Coturnix japonica: one gene and its partners. The protein of the gene in region 2 interacts with the protein of the main gene of each other region in a biochemical or structural test. Links are inferred from orthologs where the notes say so. Each region holds a gene or a part of one and is shown on either strand. Other genes may lie near its edges.

Region 1 (7,546 bases), on a different chromosome or scaffold from region 2:
GGACCACATTATCATCAGATTTTCCCAGTAGCGTTCACTTCCGTATATCTACTTTTGTTAATATTATGGCATTTTTTTTCTTTAAACCATCATAAAACATATTAACTCCTTCACATCCACATAGTGCAAAGAAGGCCAAATAGCACTTTATTCACCAGCTGGGACAGTTTTTATCAATAGTAATCAGTTTATTTTCCCCACTGGATTAAAAACCCCACTCCCATGGTGTGATGATATCCTCCCCTACTTATGTGCCCAGGTTTAAACTTTAACTGTCTCCATCATGCTACTCTTCTTCCTAACATACTCAAAACAAAAGGTTGAAAGTCAAGTGAAAAGAAAGCATGGAGGTGTCGGTTCTGTATTGAATTTAGGAAGTGAATGGGAATATATGTATTACCAGGGCCTGGCCCTGCAGTCAGCTCTTTAGCAGTAACTTAACATATCAGCTTTGCCAAAGGTGGAGTGAGGGCAGAAGACTGCAACAGTTGGCACTGGAGGAGCAAGATGTCATCTGCCCTACAAAAAGGGGCCCTTTTTCTCTCCCAGATATTTAAAGTGGATTCTTATGGATTTATCTCAGTGAGGTTGGGTGGTATGTTCTATGGGAGTTCTATGGGAGAGAGGGGTTAGAGACGTCCCATGGTGGAATATTTCAGGAAGTAGCTAGTGTGTATTCCTAAGTCTCTAGGAATGGAATGAGGTCAGTGCTGACGTGATGCAGATCTGGGCTGCACTCCCCTCTGTTAACCCTCTCTGGGAGATGAGAAAGCCCACCACCCTCCTTCCCCAAGTTACAAAGTTATAACCTCTCAAACCATCTTTCAAAGTAGTTCTTTCAGATAAGATAATAAATATACAAAAAGAAAGAAAAAAAAGTCTATTGTATAAAATGAAAGAGGATTTATAAAATTACAAGTTTAATAGATAAATATAATAAATACTTTATGCATCATAACTCTGGACAACTACATTTAAAGCAAGTATGTTGGCAAGTCACAAAAGAGTCGCATCTCAGCAACTTCGTATTTCATCAAACCACACTGACAGGCATATTACAATGCTACGTATGAGGCTGTATGCTGTAAGTATGTTTAAATCCCACTCACCTACCCAGTTCACCATGACATATATAGGGGTGAAGTGTACCTCATATCTCGGAATGTCTTTTTGAACACCAACATGGTACTACAGAGAGATGCTTTACTTACTGGGGAAAGTGGGGGGAGTTTAGAAGAAAAAATACTGGTAAATGACTTCTAGAAAAACTAAAGCATTTCTTAACTTTTTATTGACATTGGCAAATTAAAATAGAATAAATTAACAATATTTTCTCAAAAAAATGCTTTGTACAAAAATACTGTCAAAATTTCCTGAAAAGCTTTCAACACAGTAGTATCTTTTCATGTATGGAATAAACTATATTAGCACAGTGTCCAAATGCTGGAGACAGAAAATAATTCGAACCGAAATAAAAATTAAAACAATAAAATAAAATAAAGAGAGAGAGAGAAAGAAGACCTGTGAAATGTTTGCCACTAGTCAGCATTCCATCCACACCATATTATTGTCTGTACATATGGGGGAGGGGGAATGGGCAGCAGACTCTTAAGTAACAGTTATTTACTTGTTCTGATCCGGAAAGGTTTGGCCCACATCTGCTAAGCTTCCAGTTTAGCGTATCCGAAAAAGAAAACAAAATGATGGATTTATTAGTCTGCACTGCGATGCATAGTTAAAAATTAAGCAAGATGGCAGCATTTGTGCAGTAGTATCTGCCCTTCAAAGTTCATGCAACCAACGAATGCCTTTTTCCCTGTTCCCTCAGAATTTGAATGCAGCTCGAGTCATCGGAAACCGTCGTTTCCCAAATCCCCAAGATCAAGCAGTTTGCCGAGATTAACATCTATCTGTTCAACACGGTGGGAGTGATGGGCACGTTCCTGCGAGGAAATGAGGAAAGGGGAGGGGGCAAAGAGCGCCCAAAGGCACAGTTCGATGGGAATGATCCCCGGGGGGATGGAGGAAGGATGTGTGCGTGTGGAGGGGGGGGGAGCCTTGGGGGGGGGGTAAGAGGGGGGTAGGGGAGGGGGACACGTGAATGTCGAGGCTATAAAAATAAAAAGTGGCAGCAATTAAAAAAAAATGAAAAAAAAATAAAAGAAAAAAAATAAAGAGTTTACGCAAGCGCATAGTTTACTCTGCTTTCCAGATTCTCTCACCTTTTCGGGCAGCGAAAAGTGAGACACCGCGTCGGGGGGGAATGTTTTCACTCGCACCGCTAGAAAGTCCTTTGTTTGTTGGAAATGAATCAGCAGCTCACCCTGCTGGGCTGCTGTTTGCAAACGAAGTCCGTCATGAAGTCAAACTCGTTCTGTCCCAACCACAGCTCGGGCAGCTCCTTGATGCGATCCAGCCCCATTTCGATGACTAAGGACATGAGGACCTCCTCGTCGATGAAGTCAGTGTCTATGACATTGGGCGGCAGCATCGCCGCGGGGACGTGGGGCACGGCGGGCGGCAAGCCGCTGCCTCCGCCGCCGTGCTTGGGGTTGCAGTCCCTGAAATGCTGTCCGCCGCCGCTCAGCGGGTGGCCGCCGGGGTGCAAGTCCGGCACGTAGTGGCCGTGCGGGTACGGGTGGTGGCTGAAGTACTGGTTGTTGAGCTTCTGCAGCTGCATGCTGGCGCTCAGCTGCCCTCCCGGGCTGCCCACGGCGGGGGCCATGAACTGGGAGCCGCTGAAGCGGGCGGGAGGCGGCATGCTGCCGGCCGGGTGCCCCCCGCCCACGCCGCCCGGCCCCATGGCGTGCCGGACCCCGCCGCTCGCGTTCATATTGCCCGCTCCGTAATGTATATGGTCTCCCATCAGGGCGCTGAAGGCGTGCGGCTGCTGCTGCTGCTGCTGCTGGTGGTGATGGGGGGCGGCGAACTGCCCCATGCCCAGCCGGTGCGCGGGGTGGTGGTGGAGCCCGCCGGCGCCGTCGGGGAATCGCCCGTGGTTCATGGCCATCATGTGTTCCGCCATCTCCCACCTGGAAAGCGAGCGTGTTAAAGAGAACGCCCCTCAACCGGCGGCCCGAGGAAAGCCACCGCGCCTCTCGCCGTCCTCCTTCCAGGGGGAATCTCGCTACCGCGTCTCTACCGTGGAGTACAAAGGGAGAAACGCGAGCGGCGCCCGCCCTGCGAACGCCCCTCTCCCCTCCGCTCAGCCGGCGTGCGGCGAGCCCGCCCGCTCCAACTTGTGCGCACCATCGGCGGACCGTGGCACCCGGCACAGCCGCCTCCACCCGGACGGGGGCCCCGCTCCTCCGGAGCCCCGAGCGTGTCACAAGCTGCGTTCGTTCAAAGGCGCTCCTCCAACTTGCGGAGAGCGAGCAAAGAACCGGGGAAGTCCCACCCCGCCGCTGTCAGCAACTTTTGGAATGAAGTCCCAATTAAAAAGAAATAAATTCAGATACCGCAAGGCATATATACGGAAATTAAGCCGCGCGGCTGAGGAGCGCCTTTTCTCGCGCGTTTAAGCGGTCGCGTTTTTCCTGCCGCACACAAAAGGGACGCACCGCAGCAGCTGCCCAACCTCCGCACTCACCTCCCGGCTGCTTTCTTCTTTCCCTTCAAAGGTGGCGGTGGAATCAGTCAGCAGAAGTCACCCCGCATAGAGCGCTCTGCCCTCCTCTCCCGGGCTGACGTGACGGCGGGGCTCTGCCGCTGCCGCAGCCCCAGCGCCGCTCCTCACTCCTCCGCGAGGCTCATCGGCACTTGCCAACAATGAGCTGTGTTTCTTACCCAGCTTTGGCCACAGCTAATATAGGATTTCAGAAGGGAGGAGCAAAACCCTTACAGGCAACCAGAAGTAAAACCTGGAGCAAGCGAGGGGAGAAAAAAAAAAACAACAAACCAACAACGAAAACCAACCAACACCCAGCGCGCACACATACACGCTCACGCACGGACACATCCACGCGCGGAGCCACGCAGGACAGCATCCAGAGGCCCCGCTCCCCCTGCCCGGCCGACACGTGTGTTTGTGGGCTCCCCCGGGAACAAAGCGGGGCTCCGCGGCGGGGAGCGCAGCCCCGGCAATGCCACAGAGGAGGGCGCTGCCCGCCTGCACCGCGCGGCCGCGGACACGCGTGGGGCCGGTCGCTAATGCAGAGCAGCCCGCTCTCGAAGAGGCCCCGCTCCTCGCCCCTCCCGAGCCTTCGCCGTGCAGGTGTCCGACCCCGGACGCGGACGCGCGTGGGCGCTCCCCCGGGCCGGCGCCTCTCCCGGCGGTGAGATCCGAGATCCACTTTTTTTCACAGCCTCGGTGCCGCATCTCTCCCTCCCGGCCTCCCTCCGTATCCGCGTTGCCCCACAGTGTAGCAACCACCTCGGGTGTGCGGGGCGGGTGCCCATCCGGTGTTGCCCATTTTCTTGCTTACGATCCATGTTTTTACAACGGCAAAGGAAAACAACCGTAAACGGGTGAATGCTTTGTGAATGTGACCTTCTTGGCTGGCACGTCCTCTACCCCTCCTGTCGCAGGTTATCCTGTGCCACCCTAGAGGGACACGTGTGCCCCAATTGCCCCCAAAGCAGCAGTCCTGCACAGGGCACCTCTGCTACAGTCCCACCCTGCTCTGGGAGGCAGTTGTGCTGGAGGAGCACACAGATGCTGTAGGATGGGGGAGGCCTGCTGCAGGGGAGAGCTGGACGTTGCCTTGATTTTAGCTTTCACCTGGCTTTCTCCTCTCTGCTTCCCCTTCTTGGCTGTCCAGGAGGACTCTTCCCCAAACAGGAGGGATCATCCGCTCCTCTTTTGAGGTCAAAGCAGCCATCATGTAGGCTGAGCTGGAGCTTCTGCTCCTCCATGTACTGTGCAAAGACATAGCAGTGCAAGAGGTGCACAAGTGCTTCTGGGGAGATGATGTCTGCAAAGGCCACAGGGGTAACTTGGAAGTACAGACCATATGGCAGCCCTCCTGCTGCTTTTTGTGTGGCCCTCACCTGGCCACAGGAAATTAAGGAGGAGCAGTGGCTCCACCTCTCTCTACTGTGGTGGAGACAGAGATAATCCACTCGATTATCCTTGTGGGTCTCTTCCAATTCAGGATATTCTATAATTCTACTATTCTGTGAAGTAATACAGTAAATCCCTGGATGGCTGTTGCAGTTCTCACTCATACAAAACACCAGAAGAATACCCCATTCAAACCCCAGCTGAGATGCATGGCAAGGATGGAATTAAAGCCCTGGGTGGACAGGGAATGCCTCAAGTACGAGAGTTACCTTGAGGATGTGACCTCACCCTGCAGGATGCCATCATAAAGTTGTATTTTGTTCTTCTGATACATGTTGAGTAGGTGCACTTTCAGGAGAAGCTGTTCAGCAGGACCTCCATTCTGGCCTGGGGAGATCAGAAGAGTGACACTACCTTTCTGGAGGTTTTCCTTTCCTGTAGTTGTGTAGGTTTTACAGGGCAAAGCCATGAATAAGAAGAAGATACTGCTCCATTTGGCAAGTTGTCAGCTGTGTATCATGACAAGTGGTTTGTTTAATGTCACATATCCATGGTGATATCGGTATGCCTTTTTGCTCTCCCTTGCTTTGAGTTTTAGATCCTTTTTAAAGCCAAGCACACATCATATCACAGCCCTGCAAATGCCCTTTCCTATTTTCAGCTTTCAGATGTTGGGAGCTGGTATCAGATGCCAAAATGAGCTATGGAGAATTGGCAAGAGACTGCCAGAAGCAATAGAAGGCATGTCACAGCCTCTGTGACACCTCACTCATACAGAATGCATCTTCAGGTATTTACAGCCCACGTGCAGTGAAGCAGGCATGATGGAGCTTTCTTCATCAGGGGCTGCAGTGTGTCGAGATAAACCTGAGCAGAGTGATGTAAGACATGTTTTCATTGTTACTGGCTTGTGGCTGTAGCACAATAGGAACACAATCAACTGGTTGCTTTCCAGGAAATGGCTGGAAGACTTGGTGACAGGCAGCTAAGGGAATGCAGGACAAAACACGAGACCATCATGGAGCTGGTAGCAAGCTGGATCTCATGCATGCCACTCCTGATTTGAGCCAGGTTTATTTAAAGCTATCCTGTCACCCATAGTCTACAAAGGCATCTTGCGTACCTGAACTGGCTCTTCAGTAAAATAACAAGAAAGGCAGCGCATAGCCAGAGAATGCAGGAAGTGGGCAGGGTGAGGATGGAACAACAGAGCTCACAGATGTACTCCTCAGTGAGGATCTCAAGTACAGCTGGAATCAGAAAGTGATTGTTTTGCCCATTCAGGAAAAACCACTGAGAACGATTAAACACGGCAATGGAAAAGCAAGGAAAAATGGTCCTCATTTGGGTGTTAACATTTTATATGAGAAAGTCACAGGGGAACAAAGTCTGATTTCTGGCTGCAGCCCTACTCACTCCTTCCAGGCTGGAACACTGCTGGAACAGAAAGGAAAATTATAGAGGATAATGCTCAAGTCAACTCAATACTTACAGTTGTAGGGATCTGCCTCTGGAACCAAATGAATGATGAATTTCTGGGAGATTTGGACCTCTAGGTCTTCTATTTATTTATTAACTTTTATTATTTACTTTTATTATTATTTTTTTCCAACTCCAAATACAGTCTGTAACTCTCTGTGACTTGTTTCTCCCACATCACCCCTGGAGGTGAGTTTCTATGTGTTCCCTCCCACGCTGACACAAAGCAGTCAGGAAAACCCAGTTCAGGACATCTGCTAGGGTTATCTGATAGGAAATTTTATATTAGAACGATATCCTGGAAGAAATGCCCTTTCTGTAGAAATGATTAAGCTATTGTATTGGAAGGCAAGCCATTATTTTCTGGCACCTCTCACTTCTGTACTCGTCACGGCTTCCTTCAATCCCACCCTTCCCTGGGCACTTGGCACTTGGAAGACACAACTGTGCTGCAGGACGGCTCCAGCCATGGCTCCACCAGCTGCACAGCTGCTGCCTGTTTCACAACCCATCCCTAGGAAAAACAATGAACTCGGCAACTTTGTTCCAAATAGGTACCCAGGAAGCACAGAGATCTGTTTGACCTCTCAGTGTGCCTTTCCCCCTTTTTCAGATCAGTGAGTTTATTGCCTATGGAAAAAACACAAGATTTTTGACTAGAGGAGGTGTTTCTCTTTCTGACGTATTTATTGAGAGACCTATTGTTCTTAAATGATTTGAGATGGACACGTGCTTATCTGTGGGCCTGTTCAGGAGATCCTCCAAGAATCCAGGTGGGAAGGAATGACCTTGGCAAGTTCTGCTGTTTGACAAGCACAAAGATTGGCAGAATGCATAGAATTAACTTGGTTCGATTCATTCCATACAATTCCTAAAACAATCACAGCTCTCCACAGCTGGTTCCAGACACTGACCAGGTGTTCCACAGAGCTCAGCGTAAGCTCTCCTGTTTCAACAATCCTCTCTCCTTGGGAATGTTGCAGGTTGGTGAGGTGATGTGCCTGCCATACTGGTCACCAGGTGTGGAGGAGGTGACCCCACTGGTGGTGTCACGTTTGAAGGAAT
Region 2 (7,009 bases):
AACCATCCTTTCCTGGCAGACCACAAGAACACCTTTCCTATTTCAAACAGGCAGCACCAACTTGGAAAATAAAACAGAGCCAAGACACCAAGCCTTGTCCCACTGTGCAACACCACAGGCAGGGCTAAGGCACTTACCCTCCACCAGCGAGGTGAGCAAGGTGACATTAGCAGCTTTGCGCCTCCCGGCCGGCAGGTTCAACCCTATCTTGTCCAGCTTCTCTCGGAGGGACCGCCCACCATTTTTGGACTTTGCCCTGTGCCACAACAGAAGGTGGTTAGAGGAAGGGCAGGAGGGACTGTGTAGCACCCCAAAACACCACACTGTCACCAGAGGGACACTGAAGGGAGGCTTCTGGGGGAAAAGCTGAGTCTACAGATGGAGCAATGCAGTGACTGAGGTGACGGCCTGCTATGAGCCAGCAGCCGCCACGGCCTAGAGGGGACATGTCTCAGAGCGGCTGCATTATTCCATTGATAAGACAAGAGAGGATGGTCTCAAGATGCACCAGGGGAGGTTCAGGTCAGATATTAGGAACTATTTCTTCACATAAAGAGCAGTGAGGCACTGGCACAGGCTGCCCAGGCAGGTGGTAGAGTCACCGAACCTGGAGGTGCTCAGGAACCATGTGGATGTGCCACATAGTTAGTGGGCATGGTGGACCAGATTATCTTAGTGCCTTTCCAAGCTTAATGCTTCTATTCTATAATCCTGTCATTATTGAGCGGGCTGATGTGAAAGTTTGGGAGCCCACACTGCCGTTATCACACGGGAGGCTGATTCCTGCATGGCAAACACCGCAGGCCTGCAGAGACAGCACGTTAGGATGCAAGTTTGGCTAATTAATTTTATTCCCTACCCGAGCTCTCTTATATTGCCTGGATTAGATCACAGCCCAACGGCACCCACATGGCACGGTGAAGCCAACCTCCACACCCGGGGCTGCCATAGCCACGACAGCAGAGAGGCCGGGGGTCCACCACGCCTCACACACCGGGTCTCATTGCTATGATTACAGCAGCCCACCCCTCGCTTTCCCCCCTCAACCCCCAGGCGCCCGCCGTCTCAGCGGCAGCTCGCCGCTCCCCCTAGCGGCCGGGCGGGCGCAGGGGCTCCGTCGGGGCGGCAGCGGTCGTCGGGCGGCCGGCCGTGCGCTGCGGTTCGATGCCCCCTCGGCCGCCGCCGTCCGCCCGCCCGCCTCCCTCCTTCCCCCCGCCCCTCACCTCCGCAGCACTCCGCCCAGCAGGGAGGCGTTGAGGCACTCGGGAGGCGAGAGGCGTCGCTGCACTTCCGCCACCGTGACCTTGTACTTGGAGGTGGAGCTGAGCAGCGAGAGGCGGCCCGGCACCGAGCAGAAGACCTCGTTGGGGTTCACCACCCCGCCGAAGAGAGCGTCCTTGTTGATGGGGATGGAGGAGACGGCGTTGTTGTTAGACTTGGACAGGGACACGGGGCCTGCAGGGAGGGAGGAGCGGGAGGTGAGGGGAGGGGGGGCAGAGCGGCCAGCCCCGGCCCGGAGCGAAAATAAACCAAAACGGAGGGGGAAAAAAATAAAAGAAAGCAAAAAAGAATAAAAAGACCCCGAAACACACCGGCCTGCCCCGGCACAGAAGTTGGGAGCGCAAGGCAGAGGGCCCGGGGTTGGGGATGGATGGCTTGTGACATTAATAGCTCGGGGAGGGCTAATGGATACACCGGGAGTTAAACGAACTCTGGAGATTACTAATAAAAGAGCCAATTATCATGTCGGCTCGGAAAGAGCATCTCTTCAGATTTATCCCTCGCGCGTCTAATTTGACGTGACAAAGGCTCGGCGGGCGGGGAGGGGGACGGGGCGCCGGGCCGCCCGCTGTCCGTGCCCGTCCGCCCGGCAGCGCTGCACAAAGCCGATGAGATCCCACCGAGCCGCCGGTCCCCAGCAGCCCGGCCGATCGCCGCCGCGATTTGAAGCACGGAACAGCGAGAGGAAGAGCTGTTTGCCGACAACGATTTCACACCGCCGCGCAGCCCCGAGCTTCGGGCAAAGAGCGAAACCGAACCGCATCCCAACGCGCCGCAACACCGGAGCGGATTTTGCAACCCCGCAAACTCCCGGGCAGCGATACGAGCGGTGCCCTCCCGACCCCGGCCCGCCGCGCCCGCGATCGCCGCTCACCTTTCTTAATGACGGTCTGATCCGGGATGTTGATGCCGGGGTCTTCTACGTGCTGCAACACAACGAGAGGCGGCGGTCAGCGAGCACGGCGGGCACCGAGAGCCGTCCCACAGCCCCGGGCCCCGCATCCATCCATCCATCCATCCGTCCGTCCCTCCCTCCCTTCCTCCTCTCCCCGCCGCGGGCGAGGCACAAAGGAGCGGCCGCAGCCGGGCGCACGGGGGCCGCTCCGACGGGGCGAGCTGTGCACCCCCGGGCGGGCTTCCCCCCCATTGTGTGCCCGCAGATGGGGTTCGCTCGCAACGTGCCGAGGAAACCAAACGGAACAGCGTTGTTAGTATTTTTTTCCTTTTCTTTTTTTAAATCCGAAAGAAGTGACAGGCGATATAATGCCTGGCTGTGTTTACAAATTAACACCAGCGCTGCTGAGATAGAAGGTTTCGCAATGGTTACAAAACGCAGGCATTACCATTTAAAAAACTATTACTTCCTCCTCTAGTCTTTGTCCAACAATAATACTGATCCTAACATTTTCCATTCTGCCTTGGATTTATGCTCCCGTTAATTGTGCCTGATCTCAATGATTCCGGGTGGATGGTACTAAGTTGCTTTATTACAGGTTTTATTATACTCCGTGCTCTCATTTGTAACTTGCCTAAAGTGCTTCTGGATTTAAGTATAATTAAATTGAGAAATGTTCAGAAATGACTACTGCCGCAGTTCTCGTGTTTTAACTATATGGGGAAATATGATCCCTTTATGCATGCACCCTAAACCCATAAAGTCAATGTAGTGTGGCATAATACTTTTATTTGTGTTATTTCTGCGCCTATTCCGTACGGGGAGGACTGTTAAGTTTAAAATCCCACCGAGATATTTATGATTAAATAATTTGCACCGTCTCCTCGATTTACTTAAATCTTCCACCGGTCCCTTTTTTGTTAAAGCCCAACCGTGGCAGCAACGGAATAATCCACAACCGACCCCAAAGCTCCGTGTTATTTTCCCCCCTCTCACAACGAGATGGAGACTCTCAGCAGATACGTTCCCATATTTCTGTGCCTGCCCATTCGGTTTCACAGAGAGGGGGAAAAAAAAAGCCCCAACAACAACAACAACAACAACGCACCAAACAAAACAAAACCAAGAAACCAAGGGCCGGGCTGGGTAAGGATTTAAAACAGATGGCACTCAGCTCTCACAAACTACGGCAGCGCCGTTAATTCGTGGCTCTTTCTGAGGCAAACGGAGCGATTTGTACTGTAGTCTCTGCAGGGCACAGAGAGACAGAGAGAGCGGTCGGGAGCGGAGGGGGAATGGAGGAGTACGATTTGGTCACGTTCCTGCAGCAGTCAGGGGTTCAACGGCAACAAATTGGTTTGTTCCTGCTGTTGCCTCCGCGTTCTTTTGCATCGGGTTAAAAGAACAGACTCGTTCCTAACGGATCCCAATGGTTCACTAAAGCCTCCGCTCTGGAAAGCGTTCGTATTTATTGCAAAAGTGCGGAACACGAGCGGCAATTTTCTGCGGCTCAATTCAAACGGGGGGGGAGGGGGGAAAGGGGGGAAGCTGCCATAAATTCACCATTTTCCACGGGTGTAATTTGCAGAAGGTTTCCAAACGCCCCCCAAAAAGAGAGCTACGTTCGTCTGAGCATCATCCTCGCAACGCGAAACTGTACTCATTAAGCTGTCAGCGAATATATTGTTGGAAGATTTGATCCCGTAATTTGGGATGGCATTCGGGCAGAAATCACATCCAGACACCACACAGCTCCCTCCTCTCCCTCGCAGCCTCAGCCCATCCGCACGGGCTCTATGAGCTTTTATACATCTATTGCCATGTTATCGTTCTGTTTGCAGGGAGAACCCCGGCAGAGGAACTTTGCTCACGTTCCCATTGCGTTGCATAAGGCACTTTCCTGCGGAACAATGGCCCGGCTGCTCCATCACAGCCGTGTGTAATGCCATGCTTCATTAGAAACCATTTTAGTTTGAAATCCGGGCTTACTGATAACAGAATTGGATTCCCCGAATATAACATGCTGCCCAATGGGCTCCACACATTTAATTTAATAGAAGTGAGGCAGGTCTGGTTGGGATTTGATAACCCATAGGTACAGCCAATGGTCTGTGGGGTCATCCATCCCTCTGTACTGCTGCTGGAAGAACATGGCACCAGCTCCACACAAACCTCCTCCGATACTTGTCCATTAATTCCTTTGGAGAAGGGATCTCGCTGTGTCCCCTCACAACTTGAGATGCCACCATCCCGTAATATTGAGGAACCATCGGCCACTTTCCCCGACTTTTTTTTAACCCCTTTCCCTTTGCATTTCCCATGCAGAACGCTCACCGAGACCCCACACCAACGAGAGCTCCCCAGACGCACGGCCCTGTGGCTACAGTAAACATTCTCCCAATCGCAACATCTCATTGTCACCGAGAAGGAAAGATATTGTTAACGCTGACACTCATTTGATTTATCCCCATTTCAGCGAGCGCACCACACGAGCCCATTGTTCTGGGCAGGGGGGCTCGGCCTTCCTCTCTTCCTCCCTCCCCTTCTATTACATTTCGGGGGCCCCTCCCTCGCCAAGTGTCCCCCCTCCTCCGACGAGCGAGAGGGGGGCACCAAGGGGACAGCCCCTCCGCCGCCGCCCGCCCCCAGCCGGGGCCGCGGCCCGGCGTTGCTTACCGGCACGTCCTCGATGGCGTGAGGGATGGAGTGCAGCGGCAGGTCGGCCAGCCCCGCTCCCAGCCCGTGAGGGCCGTGCAGCAGGTCGTCGTGCCGCCGGTAGTCGCGGCGGGGGTCCAACCCCCCCAGCTGGTGGGGCAGCCCCCGGTGCGCGTGCAGCAAGCCCGGCTCCTGGCTCTGCCTTTGGCCCGGCCACGCCGGGTGCTGGGGCTGCGGTTGGGTGTGCAGGGAGTTGAGGCTGTAGGGGTCGTTGACGTGGGAGTAGGGGTCCTGAGACTGGGGGTAGATGGGCTGGTACGGAGGGGGGAAGTAGGGCGGCTGGAAGTCGGCGTTGGGGGTGTGCGAGAGCGGCGGGGCGCTGCTATACGGGGACTGCCCCACGGCCCCCAGCTGGGGCAGCCGCGCCGTCCCGTTGCTGGCACTGTCGTGGCGCTCCTGGGGGGGGGAAGGGGGGGCACGGGGAGGGGGTACGGGGGAGGAGGGGAGGGGAGAGAGGGGGAGAAAAGAAAAACAAAAGATGAAATCAAAACCGGTGCTCCTCAAAATCGCCCTCCAGTCATTTCACCCGCCGAGCAGCTCCTCGAGCAGAGGGAGAGAAGGGGGTCCGTCTGCCGCCCTCGGCAGCATTAACGGGGCTCGGACCATCGCCCCAACGGTGCCGGTGTAATAGCAGCGATAACCACAATAACGGGACCGTTCCGAACAATTCACAAATCGCTACGGCGGCGATCCGTGCGCTCCCGGCCGGCCGTGCCCCGGCAGCGGGCACTGAGACAACCCTTACACGGGGCCCTACGGAACCATAAGCCGAAACCGTAACCCAAAGCGCTGCACCGGCCCCGGCGCACCTCTACCGGGGGCCGCCGCCGTCACATCCCGGGGATAAAGCGGGAGAGCCGAGAGAACTGCCATCTTGCTGCGGGGGCACCGCTGCCCCTGCCAGCAACTTTGCACAACGATTCGGGGCGAAGGCGAGGGCCCAGAGTCTCCTCCGGGCCCCGTTCAAACGGGGGAGAGGAGGAGGAGGAAGGGATCGGAAGGAGAGAGACATAGCCCTCAGAAAGGCGGCGAGGGAAGGAGTAAAACCCCGCGGGCAGGTGCGGAGCGACGGGAACGGGGTGGCGGCTCCGGAGATCGGCAGAGCAAAAATAAAAGGAAAAATAAATTTAAAAAAAAAAAAAAAAAAAAAAAAAAAAGGAAAAAAAAAAAGGGGTGGTAATGGGGAAAAGAAAATAAAAGAGAAATGGAAAGGAAAATAAAAAGGAAAAAAAAAGAAAGGAAAAAAGAAACAAACCCCAACATAACCAAAGCAATCTCCCCCTCCCCCCCCCAACAAAAAAGCAAAGGAAAATAAAACCAAACGAGAGCGAAGAGGGCGAAGCCGAGGCGAAGCAGCAGAACGCAGGGCAGAGCCGCCTCGAGCCCGGCCGCCACCGCCGCCGCCAACAATAGCAGCGCCCCGCGCCCCGACCCCCGGCGGAGAGAAAGGCGAAGCCACTCACCATAGCCGAAAAACTGTGCACTAACATCTGCGAGGCGTCGGGGGATGCGCGGCGGGGAGAGAGGCGCGGGGCGGCCGCGGAGGGGCGCGGAGCTGCGCGGATGGACGCGGCCGGAGCCCGGCGCTACGCTCGGGGGGCAGCAGCGGGGAGCCGGGGCTGCTCCTGCTCCGCGCCCGCGCCGCCGGAATCCATCAGAACGCGCAGCGCCCGCCGCTGCCCTTCATCGGGTGCTGCAGAAGCTCTGCTTATCCTGGCGCGGGGCGAGAGGTAAAGTTGGTCGATTTTTTTTTGTTGTTTGTTTGCTTGTTTGTTTGCGGTTTTTTTTTCTCTTTTTTTTTCTTTTTTTTTCCCTTTTTTTTTTTTTTTTTTTTTTTTTTTTAGTATGTGGTGTTCGAGTTTCTCAATCCTTTTCTCGCTCTGTCTCTGTCTCGTTCTCCCTCTCCCCCGAGCTCCGGCCGCTCCGTTCGGGGCTCCTCACGCCCGCTCCTCCGCGCCTCCGGAGCCTCCTAAGCAGCGGATATTCATGACTATTAATATTACACGAATACTGTAAATAAGGGGAAGAATGCCGCAATCGAGCGGTGAAGCGCGAAGGCAACTCAAGGCAGAGCCCGTTCTAATGACGTCCATTGAATGAGGAATCGGTGTATCTAAT
Region 3 (7,009 bases), on a different chromosome or scaffold from region 2:
TAATGCACAAATAAACCATGGTAATAAATACAGAAACATACCCAACCACTTCCTCTTTTTGTACAGTTTCACTGCTCTGTTAGAGTAATTATTAATCTGGTAAAAGGCTGAACTAGGCCTACAAATTGCAATGTCTAAATATCTGTAGCTGAATTTACTTGCTAAACTGAAGAACTCCCCATAAGCAACACCAGTTTATACCATTTTCCTAGATTTCCTATATTATACTAACCATACTTTGAAAAAGACAATGTTTCTTTTCTATCAGAGTACCACGCAATAGCTTACAATGGAGAAAAATTTGGAAACAATACCACCACACAGTAGGTGTCACTACAGGCTATAATATACAGGTTATAATGAAAGACAAATGATTCACAGAATTAGATGGGCCCTGAGTCTTGAATGCTAACAATTTAATACAGATAATTCTCAAATGGACATTATCAGTTTTCAAATACACAGCAACATTATGGTGCTTTATATACAGGCATTTAGCTAAATGCAGTATTGGTTTGTAGCTATCTCTTCAGGCTCTTTACCTCCTTTAGCTAGGAAACAGCTCATGGCATCAACCAATTTACCCTTTATTTCTATCCAAAAGTAGAAGCAAATTAAATTACTGCTGCTAATACAGAGGCCTTGCTATTGTATATGAAAATAGCCCTCATTTTCCATAAATGTCGACCTAGCACTTTTCACTAAAAGAGTAAGGAAAAAGCAAGAACCATGCCATCGCCTAAACAGCTGTCGTGGAAAAATAATCCCTACCAGATATGTGCAAGCAGAGCAGAAGGCAGTCCCGTCTTCAGGAATAGTTCTCTGGCTTCCACACCTGACACAAATCCATCCATGTCCTTGTCAGTTTTCACAAAGATCTCATCATACTTAATTTTGTCTGCAGGCGATACAACCCACTGAAGAGAAGGGAGAGGGAGCGGTAGAGAGAAAAACAAAATCCACAATGCCAAGATAAAGACAGTTCTGTTTTCAGACTGTTATATACTTTCAGAGTTACATATTTGAAGGACTACAGCACAGATTTTGAAAGTGATACGGGTGCCTCATTTATGAATCACTTTTATCATAGATAAAAGTACATAGACATGTATAGGCATCTGTAAGACACTCCAAAAGTAAAAACATTGGTATCAATGAAGGACAACAGTCGGCTGATACTGCTCTACTACTGCTCTGATACTCTCTTTGCCTATGCAATAGATGTATCCCTTGGGGCCCAGATCTCCTCCTAGCACGGGGTTTTCCACTCACCACTGTACTCAGTCCAGCTACATCAACTTCACTCCTCCTTACACAGCTGGAGACCCTTAGCTGGGTCAAGCTCAGAGATAACAGCTGGGACATTCTAAATTGTAGGTCTTAAGTTCTTACCAGGGTAAAGATAGGAGTTACAGCCACATTTCTTACTTCAACATTTTCTCCAAATACTACACTATTTACTATAAAAAGGTGGGGGGAGGGTGAGTGAAAATTGATTCAGCTTCTGCATATATGCATGCTTGTGGATATTAATTTAAAAGTACAAGGACATTTAACACATACAAATCTCAAATGGTACTGTATTAAAAAAAAAATATACACCAAGACACTCATCCAGAATACACTGCTTTGTAATACACACACTACCCAGGCTTAAGTCAGTCAAGTAAACTGCCAGATTAAAAGTCTTGGACAACATGTAAGTACATACACAATCCTATCACAATTTGTTTTAAAAACTGCCCATGTTCAAACCAGTATTCAGTCAGAACAAACATTCTGCCTGCACATACTTGGATTAAACTGTTTTCTAAGTGTTCTGATCTTTGGGTTGAGCTAGATGTTTTGAAACAATTTATTTGTAAAATACCTTCAAAATCTTCACTAAATAATACACTTTTATCCAACTGTTCATATTTGAAGACATCTGAAGAAATTACGTATTATACTTTCTCTTAATCTGGTCTTCCCATCACCCTCCTCAACTTTATTATCGATAGGCCAAGGAGAAGGAAATAAAAAACATTTATCAAGACTTTTCACATAGGCAGACCCCAAAGTAAAACATTAAGAACAAATCTTTTGACCCTAATTTCCTTCAGAATTATACCTGTGTTAATGGAGTTTTGGCAGCTAAAATGCCTACAGGTGGCAGGGACTGATGAGAATCTTTGCAAGATGCTGAAGAAGGAATTAACGGCATTGCTCCTGGAACACTAATAGGTTTTCTCTTGGATAGTGGCACCAAAGCTGCAGGCAAGGACATTGGCACTGGTTCCTTCTCCAACGCGCAGTACACCAAGAACATGGCCTGAACACATACACAAAGAAACAAACACGTGAATGAGGAGAGGAGGAAGAGAAAGAATTAGTTAACAAGCAACTTTGTAGCATCTTTTCACAATATTTCATTTAGCCCAGAGGGAAAGTTACTGTTGTGTAATGATACATTCAATAAATTGATATTAATTTGATTAAATTCTTTGAATAAAGGCAATAAATGAAACTGCATGGTCACAAACTAACAAAATTCATCCATTTTAAGCCTCTGTCATTCAATTTTCAAAATTCTGAGGTATATAGGATACTTACCACTGCAAATTCATCGCGATCCAACATTCCATCTCGGTCGATATCACTCAATTCCCACACCTACCAATAAAAAGAACATAGGGATATTCGCCTAAACTGTAATGTTTTCCTTTTTACGTCATTAAAAAACAAATGTGAGAACAGTCTCCTTCCACTGTATCTAAAGTCCTAATAATCTAACAGCAGTTTTCAGTAAGTGATATACATTCATACAGGCCATGCAAAAGAAGAGTCTGAAATTGGAATGTTAATGGAACCTTGTCCTAAACAAAGTGTTAATCTATCAGTTTTGTGTATGCTTTATAATGAGAGGAAATCCATTGAAATATCACAGAAAAAATTTACAGTGTAACAGTTCTATGTGTGGTCAACTCCATAGGACAATATTTAGTAATTAGGCTTATTACTATAAACACAGGATTTGAGGAAAAGATTATGAATGTAGCACAGTTATTATCTGTGAATTAACAATTAACTGATAAGTAATGATAAAAAGCTATTCTTACTCGTCCTAAGATATCCACTGGCAATTTTGAGTTCAGGAGTACAGGTTTCACTTTATCTCCCGACAACAGTCCATTAACAGGATTTAGGCTGTCAAAAATAGCATCATACTTGGCTTTGTCTTCCAACTGCGGAAACAGAAGAAAAATATGACTTATGGAAGCAGTCACACTTGCAGTCTACAAAGCACTTACAAAAATACAGACGTATTTTTGTCAAATTAATTTGTCAAAGCTACAGTGAAAAAGGCGTATATGGAACGTATATCATATCATATCATATCATATCATATCATATCATATCATATCAGGAACTTCCTGATACACAGAAATTACATTTCCCCCCCCCCGCAACCCCCATCCTTTTTTTTTTTCTTTTCTTTTTAAAGTCAGAGACTTGTACAAAATCCATTGAGATTTAGTCCTCATTTGTTTTCATGCCTTCAAGTGACCATTCTCAATAAATCAAGCTTCTTCCCAAGATTTCCCAAGCGGTTTCACTCCTCCTCCAGACCCACACAAATTAGATCTACAATTACAGATTTAACAGGAATGTCCATTTATCATATTTAATAAACTATAGCTACCAGCATCATATCTTTCTCAGATTTGTGTTTCCTTACAGACCAAATTACTGTTCTAGGTAGTAGCATGGTACTTCGCTTACCTTAACAGCCCATGGTATATCACTCGATGCTGTTCCACTGAGCAGCAAAGGACTACTAGTATCAGTCTAATGAAAAAAGAGAAAAAACTCACTTAAAAAAATAAAGAGTTCTGACATTTCAAAACTACCCCTTTATTTGTGAAATCATTGCTTCTCAAGGCATTTGAGTCATGCATATTATAGTTAGGGAAATAAAGATTTACAGTAAGAAATTTAAAACCTTCCTTCTATTAAGGACAGCACTAGTAGAACGAGTGCCATAAACGTTCCAATTTCACACAATTTTACTTTTATAACCCCACTAAAACATGCAGCACCTTATTCTAGCTCCATGTTCTCTTGTTTTCCCCTCCCCTGCAGCATCTTTTTCAGAAACATCAGATATTTATAACAAGCCCTCCTAATTATTAGCTACAAAGCTTCTTATTAATATGTATATTGAGAATAAAATCTTACAAATCTTGGTGGAGGAACGGGCAAATTGAGGCTACTCAGGGAAACCTCCAATCCATTCTGTGCACATGCTACAAGTCGTAAAGCTACAAAAAACTCCTACAGGAAAAATAAAATGGTAACAGTTTTATTACATGAAAATATGCAAGAGCAAAGATTAAGAGGTTTTCTAGTACTGTTATACATACAAAGGTCACAAACAGCTTGGAAGGGTATGAATTGCAAAATGACAGAAAGCAGCAGTAAAAAAACCAGTGAATTCTTGCAATGAGGTAAAACTTGTAATTACTGCCTCCACGCAGTTAGTAGCTTCCTTGCTAGTACAATCAGCTCTCTGCACTCAGTTCTTCTATGACAGAGAAGTAAGAATCTGAAGCAGCACATACAGCTGTTTATCTTGAAGGAACTGAGTTAACCCCAAAGGTGGCAGCTGACAGCGAAGGAGGGAAGAAACGTACAGCATATGAAAGGGATGAACTAAATTGGAAGGCTGGTGAAAGATTTGTTTCATAGATGCTACAAGCAGCTTTTCCTACTGTGAAAGAAAGCAACCAACTCTCTGCAGGCCATTATTTAACTAACTACACTTCAAACCATCTAATAGCAATATCACATCAGAGCTTGTCAGCAAGCAGTATGTCTGACTGACATACTGCTCACAGCTGCAGCTTAAAAAGAACAAGTCCAAACACAACGCACACACATGAAATCCAACAAAATTAGATAAATGTGGATTTTGAAGATTTTATAGAACTTTGATTTCTGCATTTTTCACCTCAAGATTAAGAGGAAAAATTACCATAATAGTAAATACAGTATATTAGACCTTAAATTATTCCTCTGTTGTATTGCACACATACACAGCAGCTCATATTATGACTTGAAGAGAAACAGATGAGGTAGCTGAAGGGTACTTCATTTATTGTAGCTTACACTGAAACAGGGAGTACATACCAGAAAAATAAATCCTATGAGAAGAACTGCCTTTCTGAACCAGAAACATTCATGCTTATCTTATTGCAAGGTTTGCTAGCAGTTAGAGTAACCTCATTCATCAAACAACCATACCTGTTTGTTCAAGATTCCTTTGCTATCAGTATCAGCTAAGTCCCAAATCTAAAACATAAAAACAATAGTCAAAGGTATTACAAAACACTAAAAGGAAGCTGGCAAGTTCTCACTTACATTAAGAACAATTTAATTCTTGGATGGAAGTTCAGTTCTTAACTTTTGCTACAGCAATTATTTGTGGTGACAAATTTAAATGCTGTTTTAATACCATCATGAGCAACATAGACTGTGGAATAAGCACAGGTACTGAAGTTTGAAACCATTAAATAGCAGTACTGAAAACACATGAAGGAAGATCATGTATCCTGCCATACCTATCCAAGTACTTTAATTTACAGAGGACACTAACTGAAGCAAGAGACAGGATAATTAAATACTTGTCATTAAATACCTTTCCAAGCACCAAGTCTGTCAATCCAGATTTCTTCAAGAAGACAGCTGCATCAGAAGCTAACACTCTTCCAGTATTAGCAGAATCAACCTGGAGGTAGAAAAAAAAAAAGCCAACTCACATCACCAACCAGCTTTTGAATTGATGCAGTCTCATTATAGAAGCTCTCACAAAGCTAGCAAAGAATAGTCAGGTTAACATAGCCACTTTTTCAGAATCTCTTTCAGCAAAGGCAGAGTAACACAGTATCAGCTGTGTTTATTTTTAATTTCACAGTCCATACTGCCTAAACTGAATGACTAAGTTTATGATAGAACTGGAGGAGTACTGAGCATCAGTGCTATTTCAGGTGATGAATTTATTCTTCAGTGGTACAGAAAGCTCTTAAGTGCTTCTATGAATGAAACAAGACATGCTCTACTAATACAATAAGACAAAGGGAAATGTCTTTCTAACACTGCTGTTTTGAAAGCTGACATCTTTTTGTTCAGCAATTTCAAAACTGAAATGCCCCTTTTGTGGAGAAAAGTCCTTCTTAAGAAGTGAGTGCTCAACTTTTTGAGGTATTAAAAAAAGAAAAAGGTTTGTTTTCTTTTCTTATTGGTCTAAATATAAAAGATGAGTAATAAATAAAATTCCAAAGTCAAAAGATTTATGTCTATTGAGTGAAGCTGCAAGAACTTCACATATACTTTTGTCACTAGGTTGCCTTTCACCCAAAGCTCACAACAGCACTGAAAAGAACCTTAAGACATCAAGAGAGATGCAAGTCTTACATAAACCTAACTAGTCTGCAAACACAACAGTCAGTTTCACTTGTAAATGGAAAACAAACCACATGAGAACAGTATTTGGCAGGGGGTTACTCCAGTCCAACTGCTCACAGTCTTATTATTGTAAACTGATGTATGTTTTGTTGAATTTGCTACCAAACCACCATACGTAAATCATCTTACACCTTATTTTGCACTGATATAGCTCAGACAAGTTTTAGTTACTACAGAAATATATTGTAAGTAAGCAGTGTTTTTCTCGAACTTCAAACACTTACACACTGCTGGCCATGCTGAAGTCTACAGCAAAAGAATATTCTTCTACATTAAAGAAAGCTTCTTTTCTTAACAAGGACATACGTACCTGTCGATAGAACTTCTCATACACAGGATTTGCACTTGATAGCTATAAAGGAAAAAAAAAGGGAGGGGGGGGGAGAAAAGATATTCAATTAATCATAAAATCTGCATTTCAACTCCCTTCTCCCTGGATAATCAGAGCCAGGAAACACTTTTTGCTGGTCTTCATAAAGCGTTATGCAATTTTGCAAAATGATAA
Region 4 (7,453 bases), on a different chromosome or scaffold from region 2:
GCGCTGCAGCCCGCCCGGCCGCGGCCACCGGGACGCGCGGCGCCGCTCCGCGGGCGCGCAGCTGGCGGAGCCCCTCCTCTGCGGCGGCCGGGGCGCTGCGGGGCGCCGCTCCCCACGAACTTCTCCCTTTGGGGCCGCTCTCCGCGGGGCGCGCATCCCCCGCGGGGGCTCGGGGAAACGCGGAGCCGCGGGCGGAGGCGCGTCTTGGGCGGAAAGTTGAGGGGCGGGTTTCGCGTTGTTTTAATTTTTATTAACATTTCTTTTTTCTCATTTTTCGGTGCGGATGGGGTTCCCGCCCCCTTCCCCTTGGGGAGCGCTGCGCGCCCGCGGAGCCGCCCGCGGAGCCCCGCGCCATCGCGCCGCACGCTCTAATTGAAATGGCGCTTTTGGCCGGGGGCGGGCTGCCAGGGCGCTCCGCAATAGCACAATGCATGTCGATAGACGTCATTTGGTTTTAATGGCCTACAGGAAATTTGGCGTTTACAATGCGAGACATTAGCAAAGGGTGAAAGGGAGGGGGAGACGGGCGGGCTGGAAATAATTGCGGCCCCCCCATCCCCGCCGCCGAGACCCCCCGTCTGCAGCCGCCGGCGCTGGGGATGCGCCCGGGGGGGGCCGCGGCGATTTTTAATTTTATTATTTATTTTTGAACTTGATGTAGTTTATCAACAAGTGCGGAGTGGGTGCTACCCTAATTGTAACGGAGGAGTCGGGAGATGTGAGAAACGTGCCCTGCGTTACTTATTTGGGAGCTGAAAATTTATGCCTAGTTGAAAACGCCTGGGGAAATATTACATCAGACCAAATGACAATGATTAAAATCAGCTTTTTCCCCCCCTTCCCCCTTTTCCTCCCTCTTCTTTTCAGTAAGCCCGCGGAAGGACGTGACAGCGGCCCGAGCCTCCCCGGCACCGACCCGTTACCGCCGGCGGGGCCGGGCCGGGCCGCGCAGTTCCGCGGGCAGCGTAGGGCTCCGCGTGCTGCGGCGCTTCCCGGCCCCATCCATTTCCAGGGCTCGTGTTTTGTTTTACTCGGGGGTGGGGGGGGGTGGGGGTGTGAAATAAATCTGGGGACCTTCACTAAAAGCAGGGGAAAATATCCAATTTTCATCGCAAAATTAGCTAGGGCGAGAGCAAAGGGCTGAGCTAATTGTAGCCTAATCCTCTGCCCTGCAGGCGTTTGCAAAGCCCTGAGCAAGAATTCGCTTTTTTTCCTCCTCTTCTCCCTTCCCTCTGTTATTTAGAGACGGGATTATTGCCTTTCTTCTCATAACAGCCTCGGCAGTTTCATTTAAAGGCTTTTTTCCCCCTCACACGCACACATCCGCGCACACACAACATAAATAGAAAGAAGCGGCAAAAAACAGAGAGGGGGAGAGCGAGCGAGGAGAGAGAGAAGCCTTAAAAATAATAATAATCACAGCAGGATCTGAGGAGCAAAGATAGTAATAAAGGCAAAAAAAACGAGCCCATCCACACACAAACCCGGCAGAGCCCAAAGCCGAGGGGGGCTCGCGGCTCATCCTGTGCTCAAGGTAAGGAACCCGGGCCGGGCTGGAGCGCTGTGCCGTGCCGTGCCGTGCCGTGCCGAGCCGTGCGTTGCATTATTGCATCGCGCTGCACCGCGCGGCGCTCGCGCCTTCTCTCGCTCCTTTTTTTTTTTTTTTTTCCTTTTTTTTTTTTTTTTTTTTGGGAAAGTGCCTCTTCAAACTAACTCGGCTCCGGAGGAGAAGCGGCAGAGGGCTGTTTTTTTTTAAAGCTACAGCTCCCGCTTTGCTCGCGCCGTGTGTGTGTGTGTGTGTGTGTGTGTGTGTGCGTGCGTGTGTGTGCGTGCGTGTGTGTATGTTTTGTTTTGCTCCGCTCCAGCATGGGCAGCGCCGGCGGAGCCCCGCGGCCCGGGGTGCCCGCGCTGCCGCCCCGGCCCCGGCTCTGAAGACGGCCCGGCCCCGGCCCCGGCGCGGCGGAGGCAGCGCAGCCCGCTCCGCGCTCTCGCAGGGTACACGCGGAGCCGCGGGGGTCGGGCGGGCGGCGCGGGGTGCGCGGCCGGGGCGCGGGGGTGGCGGCGGGGCGGCTCGGCACAAAGGGAAGGCGGGCGACAATGGGAGCGGCGCGTATGGAAAGCACGGGAGGGATGTGAATGAAACTCTGGCGCCAGTGAGAGTGGAAGGCTCGGGTCGGGGCAGACTTCAAACCACTCTAGGCTATAGTTTGCATTTCTGCTCCTGCGTGCGATGTGGCACACTTCTGCAAAATTCATACATTAGCCTGGCTAACGCTCGCCTCCATTGGCTGCGCCGAAATCGGATGCGATCGGGGTTACGGGGCTTTTTTTTGCCCTCGCGTTCATCTAAGATATCTCCCTGTTACGAGGGAATAAGTAAAGGACGCCATGTTGTGCTTTTTTTTTTCTCCCTGCCGATGGTTACCTTCGGGCACGCCGCGTTTCAGAGCGAAAGGCAGAAGTTGGGAGGGCGGCTGCGGCGCTCCGCGGTGGTTCCCCTGACCAGCAGCGGGGAGAGGCGTGGGGTGACGTGAAGCCGCACTGATACAGCGGCGGCTGCCACGGCGGGCGGGGGTGGGGAGGGAGGGAGAAAGGAAAGGAAAGGAAGCCTCTGCTTTTCTCTCTCTCTCTTTTTTCCTTTTTTTTTTTTTGGTGAGCATTGCTCCGCGGGCAGCCCCCCATTCCCCCCTGCAAAAGTTTTGGGCACGATCCACTCTGTCACTCGGGACAGCGGTGCGTGAGGCAGCGCGGAGGTGTGTGCAAATGTTGACGGACTTTAAATTTTGGAGCCATCCAGTGCGAGGTTTCAAGTAACCCCATCCCTTCTTTGTCTCTAGGCTCGCTTCTCAGCGTAACCAATTGTCTCCGAGTGGCTCTGGAGGCAGACCCGAGCGGTCGCCGTGCGTGTTTATGGAGACAAAGGTAAATGCCCGGCCCGGGGCTCTGCCCTCGGCTCCGCGGGGCCGCGGGGCTGGGGCCGCTCCCGCAGCTGCTCGGCCCGGAGCGATGCGGCTGGGGCCGCTCCGGCGGTGGGGCCGGGCCGCGGGCGGGCGCCGGCCTCCCCGGATCCGGGCGGAGCGGAGCGGCCGCAGCGCCCGTCGGCGGGTGTCGGTCCTGCTGCGGGCGGGGCGCGGGGCGCGACCCACGGGGCCCCGCAGGCGCCCGGGCGGAGCGAGCGGGGACTGGCGGCTCCTGGAACCTGCGGTGCTCATTTCACGTCTCGAATGTGCATGAAGGAATTAAACTGCACGAGTGAATAACAGCATTAGTTTCAATTAATTTTTATCCTGGCAACAATAAACTTTAGAAACAAAGCGCTTTTACATCCGCAATTAGTCTTGCTTCCCATCTGTAGTCTTTTTAAGTGCCTGCTCCTCGATTTAACTTTGTCCCTCCTTCAGAGCTGCCTCCTTTTCCGCTCTCCCCCCCCCCCCCCTTTTTTTTTTCTCGTTATCCCTTCCAGGCTGCCGCTTGCTTCTGCAACCTTTCACCTCCCCTGTCCCTATCTGTCTGCTCTGCTCTCTGCAGTTTATTTCTACTGTATTTTCCCAACATCAGCAGCAGTATTGGTTACCATGGCCCCGGGCTATGTGCAGAGGTGGGAAAGCTTCATCCGCCCAAAAGTTCTTACACTTTTGAAGTCTTTCTTTTAGTAGGATCTGAAATGTATCATCTAGAGTGTGTATTAAATGAACAGTATTCCTGAAGGCTTTAGAGCAAGAAAGGCAACACCCTGGAAAATTCTGCAGTCTTTCAGCATTCTCTGCCCTAGGGTTATAGCCCTGGGCACGGAGCTGAATGGAGCTCTTACAACTGCCTTCTGTTTACCTTTTATGGTTAAAATAACAGCTTAGCAAAGAAGCAACTTCATGGAGAAACGATTCAGTGAAATCATCTCAAGCTGTAGCAGCATAGCTAGTTTAATCACCCCTAGAGAGCTGAACAACTGTGAGCACAATGGGACACAAAATCATTTTGTGTGTAAATGAGCATGGCATTGTGATTATTTCACTTTGCATGGGCAAATAGTTTTTACAAGCAGTACTTATGCAGTTAGCTTAGAAAGGCAGAAAAAGATAAGCTGGCTCTGAAAGATCTTGGTGTGCAATGTTTGAAAAACTAAATATTCAGATAATTTGGGAAGCGGGCTCTATTGATTTTGCCTTCAGCAGGTTCCTGTGTTACTGATTAGAGCAGGGTTATTGCCTGTGCCACTAGTTGGGATGCTGTATCCTGTCGTAGGCAACTAAAGAGCAAGGATTATTTTACATGGTTTAATAAACGACTTTTGTTAGTGTTCCTACAATAGTTACCCTTAAGGTTTTAATTTTCACATCAGTATTAGAAAATACGTGCATAAAGACTTTCACTGGATAAATACATTTAAGGTTTTGCTTTGTGCATAAAATAAGTGCATTACTCAGTGTGATCAATTTTATCTGTGTTTTACATTAAGGGAGAGGAAGGAGTCCTTAGAAATAGTGGTACTGTACCTTAGGAAACAAGAGTGCTTATTTTTTGGAGCACTACAAGTGTTTTCAGTGTCCTTACGCTCAACAATTACGCCCCCTGATAATCTGCTCATAGGAAATGACTGAACTCCACAACTCTCATAAACACGTTGGGTTCATTTTTAATACCAGTCCTCTCTGAGCAAGGGAAAAGCCCGTGTTCTGATTCCATCTCCTCCCCCAAAAAGCCGGTAGCATCCTCAGTAAGTACGAAAAGCCATAAAAGTTTGAGAACTATTTTAGCTTTCCAGTGATTTTCTATAATTAAGTGTTTTTTCAACACATGCTCTAGCTGAGAGATGCCAAAAGCAGAGGATTGTTCAAAAGGTCCCTCCAGTGAATAGTATAAATTAAATATCTACTGTGTGAGTATGGCCTCTCTGAGAATCTCAGACTTTTTACAGATCAAGGAATTTACTGGTATACTAACATTAAACAAAATCCTAAGATAGCAGCCGTGCTTAAATATGCACAAATAGGTTCGGATCACTTGATCTTTAGCTATCTGTGCATATTTTAAAATAAAAGTCTGTATTTCAAGACAAATGGTTAAATGTAAGACTCGTTTACAGAGGACTGGAAGCCCTTTGATTTCATTTGGAAATTGTAACAAGGGGTGCAGATGAGCCCTAATTAGGCACTTGTTTTGTGAAACTGCATGAGATGTGTTTCTAAGGCAGCTCTGTGCTGCGCGAGGTCTGTACCTTTATCATTAGTGATAATAGTTAGGGTCTGAACAAAGACAGGGTTGACATTCAGCCTGTGTCTCCTGACCCTTTCATTTAAGTGAGGGAGCACAGACTGAATATGAGTTCGCAGTGCTCTTTGGTAAGAAAGAAAAATCTTTGTGTTGGCAGACAGATGAGGCACCCACAGACTGGTAAACAGAGCGCTAAAATCCTGCAGGTACTTACATACTAAGTTGCTTTTGAAAGTTAGTTCTTTTATTTATGCTATACGACCTATTTACTGAAGCTTGCCCACAACAAGCTCTTGTGGGAAACAAGAAAGCAGCGTCTTGAGTCATGAAAGGATTCAATCACTTTCCTTGAAGGTGGTGCTGTAGCAAAAATGTTAATGCCCAATTTCACATCGACTGACACAGAAGTCCTAGGACAGAGCTGGCATTTGCTTCGTGCTCAGTGCAGAGGTCCATTCTGCCTCCGAAGAGGAAAGGATGTGGATTCATAATGGGGTGATGTATTGCTGTGCTTTAGATGCAAGAAATCCTTAGGAGCTAAACTAGATAAATGCAGTTAATGGAGACGTTACGATGACTTTATGAAGCTGTCTGGATGAATTAAGATTTTTCAGCTCCTTTCTACATAGCTCAGATTTGGATTTTTACAGCAAATATTTCTAACTGCATGTTCATTGTGTGTCATAGCCAGGCTCCTCGTGCAAAATAATTACTGCTAGAAGAAAGACAAGACCAGCTTTAGATTTCTAGGAAATATTATCAAAGTAATGTGGGAGAAATGGGAATTCACTTTGTAATGCTGTATTGAAGTGCTTATCAGATAGAAGGGAGAGTCTGGGTGTTTGGTAGCATGCTTGCAAAACAAAATACCAAGAAAATTAGATTATATTCAGAAATATCTTCAGCTATAATGTTTTGCATATGTTGTTTTACCCATAAGGGGGAGAATGAACGGACATGTTCTAAAACTTACAGTAGATTTTTTGTTTGCCATGTGTGCTATCTGTAGTGATTGAACCAAAATTAGCTCTGAGACACACGTTTCAGCAGGATAAGCTTTGCTTTTCTTACTGAAGAGAACTGCTCTCCTGCTTTGCTAATCCTTTCCATTTGTGAGACATTTTAAGATTCTTGACTCAATTCAGTAATTCTGCTAATTATCAAACATTTTTAGTGCAGTAGCCATTAGATGGATGCTGAATTTGTGATTTCACTTGCCAGATTGCATAGTGGTCTCTAACGCTTCTTGTCATGAAAACACAGGTCAGTTTACATATATGTATCTTTCTGTTTTCGCTGCTTCCAGGTATTGCATTCAGTTTCAAAGCTTATTAGTTCTTTGTATCTAATATTAAGGCTTAACTAAAAATTATCAATTTATTTTGCAATTATTGAAAATAAGACACAAAATTGATCTCAGTTTGATATGAAATTTACTACATGTATAAACTAAATGCCTTAGGTACTGAGGAAGTCACTAATTTAGAGGTGTCTCGTTACTGAGACAAACTTGCAAAACCCCCTGAATCCCAATTCACAAATTGGTTATTCGTTTGTCAGGGGATATTTCACATCTAACACATAAGCCCGCGACCTTTAATTAGAATTTTGCAGTTTGTTTTATGCCCCTTGAGGCTGACACCTTGAAATTTTTTTTCTTGATTTCTTATTGCTAATAAGCATCTTTCCCTTCCCCTCTGGTACTTTAAAGAAAATGATGCAAATACACTTAATTACAGTGGTGGCAATAATTTGTTAGCTGAATATGTGATCAGGCAGATGCAAAAATGATCTGATTAGATCTGTGATCACACTGAAAATAAAGGTAACACACTGCTACATTTAAGAAAAACTGTTCTTTTTGTCCTCCGTTTCCAGGAGGGAAGAAGCATGTCCCGTCTGTCTCTAACACGGTCCCCAGTTTCTCCTCTGGCTGCTCAAGGAATTCCTCTCCCAGCCCAGCTCACCAAGTCGAACGCTCCTGTGCACATCGATGTAGGAGGACACATGTACACCAGCAGCCTGGCTACCCTGACCAAGTACCCAGACTCCAGGTAAGACTTCTGGGTTTTCAGGCTCTCTGCCTCATTCTGTTCATTGCATGGAAATACTCATGTATGTACCTGTGCGGCATATTTCGGTGCGAAATATGATTTATTATATATTCACCATTTATGAATAATTCACTTTCCGATTTATACGTTAACCTCACTGGTGCTGTATAGAAAAAATGCCTGTACAA

Evidence for each region.
Region 1: the proteins of TFAP2A (region 2) and CITED2 form a complex in vitro, tested with the Homo sapiens proteins (2 studies listed by BioGRID, with this or other methods). The link is inferred for Coturnix japonica from reciprocal best matches to the Homo sapiens genes TFAP2A and CITED2.
Region 3: the proteins of TFAP2A (region 2) and EPS15 form a complex in vitro, tested with the Homo sapiens proteins (2 studies listed by BioGRID). The link is inferred for Coturnix japonica from reciprocal best matches to the Homo sapiens genes TFAP2A and EPS15.
Region 4: the proteins of TFAP2A (region 2) and KCTD15 form a complex in vitro, tested with the Homo sapiens proteins (2 studies listed by BioGRID, with this or other methods). The link is inferred for Coturnix japonica from reciprocal best matches to the Homo sapiens genes TFAP2A and KCTD15.

What each region holds. Positions count from the first base shown.
Region 1 is NC_029518.1:48,804,138-48,811,683, reverse strand, and holds CITED2 (cbp/p300-interacting transactivator 2), read right to left. Parts: upstream 4,095-7,546; 5' UTR 3,590-4,094; intron 3,033-3,589; 5' UTR 3,026-3,032; coding exon 2,312-3,025; 3' UTR 889-2,311; downstream 1-888. UniProt on the Homo sapiens protein: Transcriptional coactivator of the p300/CBP-mediated transcription complex. Acts as a bridge, linking TFAP2 transcription factors and the p300/CBP transcriptional coactivator complex in order to stimulate TFAP2-mediated transcriptional activation.
Region 2 is NC_029517.1:65,923,497-65,930,505, forward strand, and holds part of TFAP2A (transcription factor AP-2-alpha), read right to left. Parts: intron 6,697-7,009; exon of another isoform or gene 6,382-6,696; coding exon of another isoform or gene 6,355-6,381; intron 5,288-6,354; coding exon 4,853-5,287; intron 2,208-4,852; coding exon 2,156-2,207; intron 1,456-2,155; coding exon 1,224-1,455; intron 257-1,223; coding exon 138-256; intron 1-137.
Region 3 is NC_029523.1:21,506,139-21,513,147, forward strand, and holds part of EPS15 (epidermal growth factor receptor substrate 15), read right to left. Parts: intron 6,857-7,009; coding exon 6,815-6,856; intron 5,768-6,814; coding exon 5,678-5,767; intron 5,332-5,677; coding exon 5,284-5,331; intron 4,315-5,283; coding exon 4,219-4,314; intron 3,829-4,218; coding exon 3,763-3,828; intron 3,225-3,762; coding exon 3,099-3,224; intron 2,653-3,098; coding exon 2,593-2,652; intron 2,312-2,592; coding exon 2,111-2,311; intron 918-2,110; coding exon 772-917; intron 1-771. UniProt on the Homo sapiens protein: Involved in cell growth regulation. May be involved in the regulation of mitogenic signals and control of cell proliferation. Involved in the internalization of ligand-inducible receptors of the receptor tyrosine kinase (RTK) type, in particular EGFR.
Region 4 is NC_029526.1:9,281,762-9,289,214, forward strand, and holds the start of KCTD15 (BTB/POZ domain-containing protein KCTD15), read left to right. Parts: upstream 1-3,514; 5' UTR 3,515-5,688; coding exon 5,689-5,706; intron 5,707-7,089; coding exon 7,090-7,265; intron 7,266-7,453. UniProt on the Homo sapiens protein: During embryonic development, it is involved in neural crest formation. Inhibits AP2 transcriptional activity by interaction with its activation domain.